Danio rerio: one gene and its partner. The protein of the gene in region 1 binds, or shares a complex with, the protein of each later gene. Links are inferred from orthologs where the notes say so. Each region holds a gene or a part of one and is shown on either strand. Other genes may lie near its edges.

The links. The genes of interacting proteins can lie anywhere in the genome.
Region 2: tent4b (region 1) and zcchc7 share a complex: the UniProt entries of both Homo sapiens proteins name them as parts of the nucleolar TRAMP-like complex. The link is inferred for Danio rerio from reciprocal best matches to the Homo sapiens genes TENT4B and ZCCHC7.

Annotation. Positions count from the first base shown.
Region 1 is NC_133182.1:38,081,983-38,086,419, reverse strand, and holds part of tent4b (terminal nucleotidyltransferase 4B), read left to right. Parts: intron 1-558; coding exon 559-679; intron 680-762; coding exon 763-870; intron 871-2,872; coding exon 2,873-3,001; intron 3,002-3,948; coding exon 3,949-4,162; intron 4,163-4,437. UniProt on the Homo sapiens protein: Terminal nucleotidyltransferase that catalyzes preferentially the transfer of ATP and GTP on RNA 3' poly(A) tail creating a heterogeneous 3' poly(A) tail leading to mRNAs stabilization by protecting mRNAs from active deadenylation.
Region 2 is NC_133176.1:23,284,013-23,289,125, reverse strand, and holds the start of zcchc7 (zinc finger CCHC domain-containing protein 7), read left to right. Parts: upstream 1-1,820; 5' UTR 1,821-2,379; intron 2,380-5,072; 5' UTR 5,073-5,098; coding exon 5,099-5,113.

The DNA.
Region 1 (4,437 bases):
ACAATCTTTTGAGTGAATTATCCTTTTAAATGACCTTCTCTATCCATGTTTTATTAGTTAAACGAAAGTCTGTTCTAAATCTTTTTAAGTAATATGCAAGTATTATAATATGCAGGTGTGTGCTTTTGTTCACATTTGTGTGTTTGCATTGAGGAAATTCAAATTTGGACTTTTTAGCTTCGCGTCTCCTGGGATTTTGAGTGTGTGCATTTTTTTCTTTGCGAGAGCCAATCTCTCGTTACTCAACACCGCTCAAACTGCATTTATACGTCACCTGGATTACTGAACTCTGGCTTAGTGGAATCAATCTGCATGTGCTAAGATGTGTGCTAGTTGCTGAAGCATTTTAGGCTTAGTACCTCGTTGTACCTTTAGAAAACTGATCCGTAACATAGGTGCGTTGTTGTTTGTTTTTTTTATTATTAAATGTAAAAAATCTAAATCGTTCTGAATCACAGATTTGAAATACACATTGGTGCTCCCTAAAAGATTTTATTGATGAAGAGAATGTTTTCTTTTTGCTTCACTTTGACACTTTCTCCTCTGTCATTATATCAGTGATATAGACTTGGTGGTGTTTGGTAACTGGGAGACTTTACCTCTCTGGACTCTGGAGGAGGCTCTACGCAAGAGAAAAGTTGCAGATGAAAACTCTATTAAAGTCCTGGACAAAGCAACGGTAAGCACTGCTGTGTGTCATACATGTGTCTTGAGTGTATTTGTTGTCTGTCTGCATGTATTTAATGCTCTTTGTGTTTGTAGGTTCCCATTATTAAGTTGATGGACTCGCACACAGAGGTGAAAGTGGACATCAGCTTTAATGTACAGAGTGGTGTAAAAGCTGCAAACCTCATCAAGGACTACAAGCAGGTGAGTGTGGAGTTGTTTTTATTGTCTATTTCTCTGAGAGTCTCGAGGGAAATTGAATTTTTTTAGAAGGGATTATAGGCTGCATTTACACTGCAGATCTTGATGGTCAATTCCGATTTTGTGACAGTATCTGAAATATTTATTTTTTTTAATAACCCGATTGCATCATATCTTAAACGTGTCTTGTATCTGATTGTCTGCATTTACACAGTACACTGCAAAGGTGCAATGAGCAAGAAAAAAAGACAGAGCGCTGACTGACAGCTGATGATTAAAAAAAAAATCTTTACTCCATTTCTGTATTTAATCTGTTTGCAGGGTTAAATTTATTTAAATTTTTTTTTGATTTGTTATTTTACTATAGTTTATGGCAAAGTTCTCATTTGGCCATCTTCATTTAATCTAGACCTTTTAAACCTGTAGGCATCTTAATGTAATGTCCATGGTGTGATTTATGCATATGATATATGCAACAGTTTTGTAATAGTTTATATTGGTTATGTGGTGGATGTTGCACTCTCTCTCTTTCTCTTTAAACATGCTTAAATACTTGTGCAACATGACAATATCAAAGCTTTTTAGTCCTTGTGTATGAGATTTAAGGTGCAGGACTCTGTTGAAGTCTGTTTTGGAATGAAAACATTCCATTTTTTATGTCCTTCGCAAATTTTTTTTATTTTTTATGACGCGTGACTCTCATTGATAAGTGATAAATCGATCTACCTGCTTTTACTAGACACAAGGGCACAGATCCGATTCATATAAGATACATTTCCACAAATGAACAAGGCCTGAATCTGATTTGAGTAAGTCAGAATCCATGTGATTCTTTCCTGCTTACACGAACATGGGTCTTGTACGATCTGTGCCACATGGGGAAAAAAAATCTGAATTGAGTCTCTTGAGCCATGCAGTGTAAGTGCAGCCTCAAATGTAATTAGAATTTAAAATGGAGATGTTTAGATTTTAGAAGCTAATCTGAGCAAACTACACTTGATCTTCACCAGATCCTATAATAACACATTACAACTACACTATGCCTTTGAAGATTGAATGCTTTTTTTCACGTAATGGTATAACAGTGCACAAAAATGACATGATTTGCTGTTTTTGGTAAAGAGAATTAAACAGTGGTTTACTGAACAAAATTGGCTCTGTCTTTAAATATATTTAAATTTATATGACAAATTTGTTGGCTAAGTCTTTGGCTATTGCTTTAAACTAACTATGGAACCCTATTACTTTCGCACAAGGCAGTTCTACTTCTGATTATGAAACTGCTTGTACTGCAGTTTATTTTTTAAAAATATGACCGTCATGACAGTTTTATTTGAAACCACTAACAGTTAAAGTAAAATATAATCAATACATGGGCTAATGTAGTCCAAATATTTAGAGAAATGCTCTTCTCCAGACTTCATGGCTATCCTAAACTACATTTAATGTTGGGTGACATTGTTTATACGCGGTTTTATTGATTTCTTTCGACAATTGAAACACTGAAGACATGAGATTTCCTGATTAAAAATGGACAGAATTTTTGTTTTTATTATATCAACAAGATTAATTAATTATTTTTTTTTTTAACGAGATGAAGCTTCATGTGATTGTTGCAAAGGAAATGTTCTGTATAATGAAGAAGAGATCTTGAAATGGGACCAATTCAGGGAAATAAGAGTCAGTACTACAGATCTTAAAGTAAAGATGCATAAAATAAAGTTTCAGTTGAGCTCCTTCGGGTGCAGTGGTTAAAACAACATTGCATTTTTGTTTGGTACGTAAGCATATTGAAATGAAAGAGCACTTCGAATCTAAAAAAAGCAGTTCAATCTAAAACATCTGCCCCAAAGTGTTTTGTTTTTTAGTTCTTTGTAAATTGGTGTAAAAGCAACCATAAATTAATTCTCACTTGAGGCATGTAAAACAATTGCTCTGTGTTGCAGGTATAGTGTTAAAATGCAAGTAGGTTTTTAATTTCTTCTTTCTTGTGTTTTTTGTTTAGCAATATCCTGTGTTACCGTACCTGGTGCTGGTTTTAAAGCAGTTTTTACTGCAGAGAGAGCTGAATGAGGTTTTCACAGGAGGAATCGGATCATACAGTCTGTTTCTCATGGCTGTCAGCTTCCTACAGGTAAGACATTTACTTCGAATCACACACACTCGCTAGTACTCTTAAATAAATCCTACTTGGCTGCTTGCATTATGCACTGCACCCAGACAGTTGAGTGTGACATTATAACAAAGGATTTTCATTTGGAACAAATACTTGTTGAATGTTTGTTTAAGCTTAAATGGTGTTTATTTAAGCTTTTTATTCTTTAAAGAATCTTGTGGTTCTTAAATATGGTATCAAATTTGCATATGATAAGAATTTCTGAATAATAATATGGCACTGAAGATTGGAGAACTGGCTGTGGATAATTCAGATTTTCCATAAGTAAGTTAAATTAAAATAGGTGAAATCAATTAAAATAGAAACTAATTAATTTATTATTAAAAATTATAAGACTGTGCAAGTGAATAGGGTGAAAATAGCTAATAATAATAATAATAACCAAATAGTTTTAATATCTAATATTATGTTTATTGTTTTTATTCAAATTTGTCAGTGAGCTATTGTTTTAAATACATGCTGATTTACACACGTCTAGTACACACATTTGAACATTTGGATGAAGTCAGGTTTAAAATTCTTGTCATCTTTCAACATTTTACAGTCAAGGTTTTTTACAGTTTAATTTTTTGCAAAAGCCCAAAGAAAAAAATCAACTCTCACATCAGTTTGTGGAATAAAAAGTTGTATAGAAACAGACAAATTATGTATGCAAATTATGTAACACATCCCTTTGTAAAGCCTTGGTGAGCAGAAAAGCTTTAAATAGAGCTTTAAATTCATACTTCTCACACTCTGAAGAAGGATGTGATATTTTGTGAATATCAGATTGCAGAATCTTACATTTTGGCATACACCTCTGCAGATTTGTTTTATAGTTGAAAAATTACTCATTCAGTGATGATTGTTTTTATGCCCATATGCCAACAATCTAGTCAAATTACTGTTGCTGTTTTATTTGCCAGCTGCACTGTAGAGAGGACGTGAGCAGCTCAAACCCAAACTTGGGTGTACTGCTGATTGAGTTTTTTGAGCTCTATGGACGGCATTTTAACTACCTGAAGACAGGGATCAGAATCAAAGACGGAGGCTCATATGTGGCCAAAGATGAAGTGCAGAAAAGCATGCTGGATGGATACAGACCGTCTATGCTTTACATTGAAGATCCATTGCAGCCAGGTAAACGCACACTGACACACTTCAAACAGTCACCTGGGGTCTGTTCTTCGTACCTCGATTAAATGATCTAAGATGATTTTGGCAGATTCTGGATCTTTTAATCTTGATAACTGATTTCTAACTAATTTGGTTCTTCACACAAGTTTGAGAATCAGATTAAAATATCTGGATAAACTGATCTGAGATTGCTGCGATTGCAGATGTTAAGGACAGATCCATCAATCCTCGAAATTATGATCAGCAATGCATCGATTGGCTGATGGCACAGCAGCGTA
Region 2 (5,113 bases), on another chromosome or scaffold:
TTAGCATTTCTGTGTGGGGTTTGCATGCTCTCCCTGTATTCGCATGGGTTTCCTCCAAGTGCTCTGGTTTCCTCCACATTCCAAAGACATGCGGTATATAAATTAAATAATGTAAATTGGCTGTGGGCGAGGCAGTGGGGCAGTAGGTAGTGCTGTCGCCTCACAGCAAGAAGGTCGCTGGGTTGCTGGTTCGAACTTCGGCTCAGTCGGCGATTCTGTGTGGAGTTTGCATGTTCTCCCTGCCTTCGTGTGGGTTTCCTCCGGGTGCTCTCGTTTCCCCCACAGTCCAAAGACATGCGGTAGACTAAATTGTCCGTAGTGTATAAGTGTGTGTGTGTGAATGTGTGTGTGGATGTTTCCCAGAGATGGGTTGCGGCTGGAAGGGCATCCGCTGCGTAAAAACTTGCTGGATAAATTGGCGGTTCTTTCCGCTGTGGTGATCCCGGATTAATAAAGGGACTAAGTCGACAAGAAAATGAATGAATGAATAAATTGGCCGTAGTGTATGTGTGTGAATGCAAAAGTGTATGGGTGTTTCCCAGTGTTGGGTTAGGCTGGAAGGGCATCCGCTGCGCAAAACATATGCTGAATAAGTTGGTGGTTCAATCCACTGTGGCGACCCCAGATTAATAAAGGGAATAAGCCAAAAAGAAGATTAATAAATGAATGAAATTTCAATTAAACCACATACTTCTACAAGAAGTAACAATGTTGGCTTTTTATTTCAGATGTGAACTTAAAAGTTGGGAACATAGAGATGCATCAAATTAAATTTAATATATTTATTTTATATAGAAAGCAGAGTTTTGAATTATTGTTTTAAATAATTTGAAACAATAAAATGCTATAGAGGGTAAATCTATTTTACATAAATTACTTTTAAGGGTAAAACTCAGGTTAGTGTAATAAAAAAAGATCCTTACCTTTTAACTTTACTCCTTATTCCTTCACCTAAATGTGAGATGAAAGTTGAGGGGTTAAATTAAGTCTTTTGATATGTCATGAAATTATTGTTTGAAATATGTTTAAAAAGTTTTTTTTTTTTTTTTGTAACAGTGAAGGAGCTGAAAAAAAGTTACAATACACATAATATGTATTTTAATATATGAGCACTTGTTCTCATATTTCATATTTGTTAGGAAACAATGTTATGTTCTTATATTTTCTGGTCACATATTTATTTCTATTTCTATGTACATAATTATATCATTCTTGTTTTGTTTTTAAGAAGTTTTTTGTACTATATTGTCCATTGTTAAAAACCAATAGTGACAAAACATTATTATTATTAGGCTATTAATAGCAAAATAAGCTAAACGTGTATCAATGTTCATGACAATGAATCAAATTTAGTAAATTTTTTATCTACTCTGTAAAATTTTCTCATGCCTACAGTAGGTTACATTTCAGGGACCACTGGCTCTTATTCTATCTTGTATAAAAGAAAATACAAGTAAGAACAATTCATATTCCAAATGCTCTCCTATTAACACCACGATCAGACATAGTTGTAGTTTTTTAAAACAATCCTCATATTCAGAGTCACTAATTTTCGATGCTTGTGCTAAATTTAGTTCATTTTTCCCAGGGATGACGAATAGTTGGCCAACCATTTCATGTTCCTGTGGAGTCCGGAAGCCAGTAGTGTCCCGTGTTGCAAATCGGAATTTATAAACAGGTCAGATTTTTAATCAGTCTGGTAGTAAACCTGTTCAAACGTGCCATTTGATGTAGCTGAGGTTATAAATGTTTTTAAACGACGCCGTGTCCGTGTAGTAGTAATGCGACGCGTCTCAGCCGGCGTCCATGTGTACGTGAACACACGTGGGTCTCCGAGCAGCACTTCTAGCACTGAAGCTAACACATGCTTGTCAGATTCGTGTAAAATATATATCCGCGTACATTTAATGTTGTTGAAGGACAAGTGTTTTGTTGACTTGCTGGTTTTATGCAGATATTTAGTGTTGCGGATGGTCTGACGTTGTTGGTTTTTATTGGGTGCTTTAGCTTTTCAGTTAGCATAGTGTCAATTCACTGTGGTGTTGTTTATGTGTTAAATCAGATGAGTTTATGTTTTTTGGAATTGTTTTTATGGATTTGAGGACACAAATCTCTGTCTAGGACTAATGTGGTGTTGTCAAACAGTCTCCATTTCAACTACATGCTTTTGTGCAAATATGCAAACAAACAAACAGATAAAAATGTTATTGTTATACTAGTATGTCAAAATATTTGTCCTCGAATACTCGTAAAATAATCTGACAGTGACCAAACTAAACGTTATGTTTATGTCATATTACTTTGCTTTGTAAACAGAGATCATGTATGTTATGGCCACGTTATACATGTAAACATCACTTTCGAGGGACTGTAGTGTATGTACGTTATACTGTTTTAAATTGGTCTCATATAAGCTGTTCAAGTGTGTCACGAAAGCTCTAGAGCATTTGTTTGTAAGTTTGATTAGCATTTATGGTGGTTGAACATATTAAATAAAGTTAAGTAAATAATTAAGTTGGTTTTATATTTGCATATTCTGAAATTTTCCTTAATATAATTTCAGAAAAGTATTATTAAATTCTGAATAGGAAAATCAGATTAGCAGCCAATAACTTTTAAAATACATCATTGTTTACATTCAATTAAATAGTTTTCATGTTGTTTTAAAGTCATACTTGCATGCGATTTCAGATAGAATATTCAAAGTACTTAGCTGGGTAAACAATTAGGGGACAGTTATATAGAGTATATAAGTTATTATAACACATATTAATATGTGAATATAAAACCAACTTTACCTCAGTGTTGAACATATGATGAGAACAATATTGTGTATTGTTAATCTTTGTTTTTTTTATGTTTTTGGAGAGTAAGTAAAATACATTTGTGTTTAGTTCCTAGTCTTTTTTTTCTTTAGCTTTTATATATACTGCATAAAATAATTATAACAAATGTAGAGTTCCCAAATAAATCTGCAGATGTTTTTGTATCATGCAGACTATTTCAGCAAGATATAGTAAATATATGCATCATGCGTTATTTTTGTTGAATATTCTTACAGTGATTTTGTTTGTGATTATAACATGTCTCTTGACAAATTTTATTTATGTTTATTAATGTAATAATCATAATAAGATAATCAATTATCTTATAGGCTAATAAAAACTGTGAAGGTGCAAACATTGAGAAAACACAATGGTCAGCATAACAGCAGGTTGAAATGTAATACGGCCCCATTTGATTGGCCAAATTTGGATAAACAACTTATTTATGCAACACAAAATCTTGGCGCATATGCTATTATTTTGATAATGATAAATCTACAATATATTGGGCAGCCCTGTTGCTGAAAAAAGCTTGTAAGCTTTGTCATACTCTTAAGAGGACTAAAGTGAAAGCATTTAAGTGCTCACTGTAATTCATTACATAATACCATTACTTTAACTTGCTCTCGGAATGTGTTCATTAAAAATATATAAAGGTGTATTGTAGTTTCTTTTTATATGTTATTTCTACTTCTCACAATCATTTGTAATTACAGATTCAAGTAAAGAAAAAAATTTAAGCATTTGCGATTTTAAGGCTGTTGAGTTTACAGTGGGCTTTAAATGACGCGTGTATAGTGTGCAATGATGTGAAAATAGTTAATAATAAATCATGAATTGATTTAGGATTTAAAATGTTTTACTTTGCAAAAATTTTTAAATAAAACATTGTTATTAATATTATTTTTGAATAAGATAAAATATTAGTGGGCGGCGTGTGGGTTTCCTCTGGGTGCTCCGGTTTCCCTCACACAAGTTTAAAGACATGTGCTACTACAGGTGAATTGGGTAATCTAAATTGTTCATAGTGTGTGTGAATGAGTGTATGGGTGCTTCCTAGTGATGGGTTGCTGCTGGAAGGGCATCTGCTGCGTAAAACGTGCTGGATAAGTTTGTGGTTCATTCCGCTGTGACGACCCCTAATTAATAAAGGGACTAAGTAAAAAAAAAATGAATAAAATATCAGTCAGTCAATCAATAAGGAATAGATATTTATGCTTATTATTCTATTTAATATTAATTATAATTTATAAATGTTCAAAAAGCATCAAAACAATAAATATGCAGCAAAAACATTTTTGTTGCATTAAAATGTTTAATTTTTATCATACACATTTATTTTAATTTATACATTTATTTATTTGGCAAGTTTACAACAAGGAAACTGAATATTTAGCAACACAACAAATCACTAATTGAGAATTAAAGTGTATTCCCAAAATCCAAATTTAATTGTAATTTTCCAAACAGGTGTCATACATTCAAAAAAACACCAAAAAAAGAGGATTTTTGCTGCTTGTTCAAACTACTTATTTAAAATAAGATGAATAAACACAATTCTTATGGGGTACACCTAATTGTTTTATGTTCAGTTCATTTAAATTTGTAAAAATAATTAGGTTAACTTGCGGTTGGGATATTTTATTAGGAATTTTGTGGCAGTGGCGCCCAATATTTTAACAGTGTATCCCAGTTGTTAGCAAAATGTAAACACTAAAAAAAGTGTAAATGATGAACAATCAGAGCAAAGTTGAAATTAGATCAACAAAATGTCTATAATAATAATTACAGTAAACCTCATACTCTGTAAACAAAAAAATATAATAATAAAACCTGAGCTTTCAAGTAAAGTAACTAACCACCATTATTCAAATGCATATTGCAAAAATACCAATTGTGAAGTTGAATGACTACGATACCCCTATGCTAAAAAAAAATCTTTCAGATAGGGAGCTAGTGGCTGGGATGCACAAGATAAGAAATCAAAAAGCCACTCTGGCGACATCATTACATCTGTTTTTACTTACAATCTCCTCACTGTTGCTAGACACTTTTTGCACAATTTTTGTGTGTGTTGTTGTTGTGACCTGAGGTGGCGATGTCGTATTTGGGTTCACATATTGTGTCTAAAAGCATGTGAAAAGTGTGAGGCGCGTAGATTCCTTCACTATTTTTAATGCGATTTGCACTTGTGCTTCCCTGGCATCTCTCGATGACATTCTGGAAAATTGAGATGTTTTCAACTAGGTGCACCTGGAAAATGCGAGTGCGTCATGTGTTCACCACTT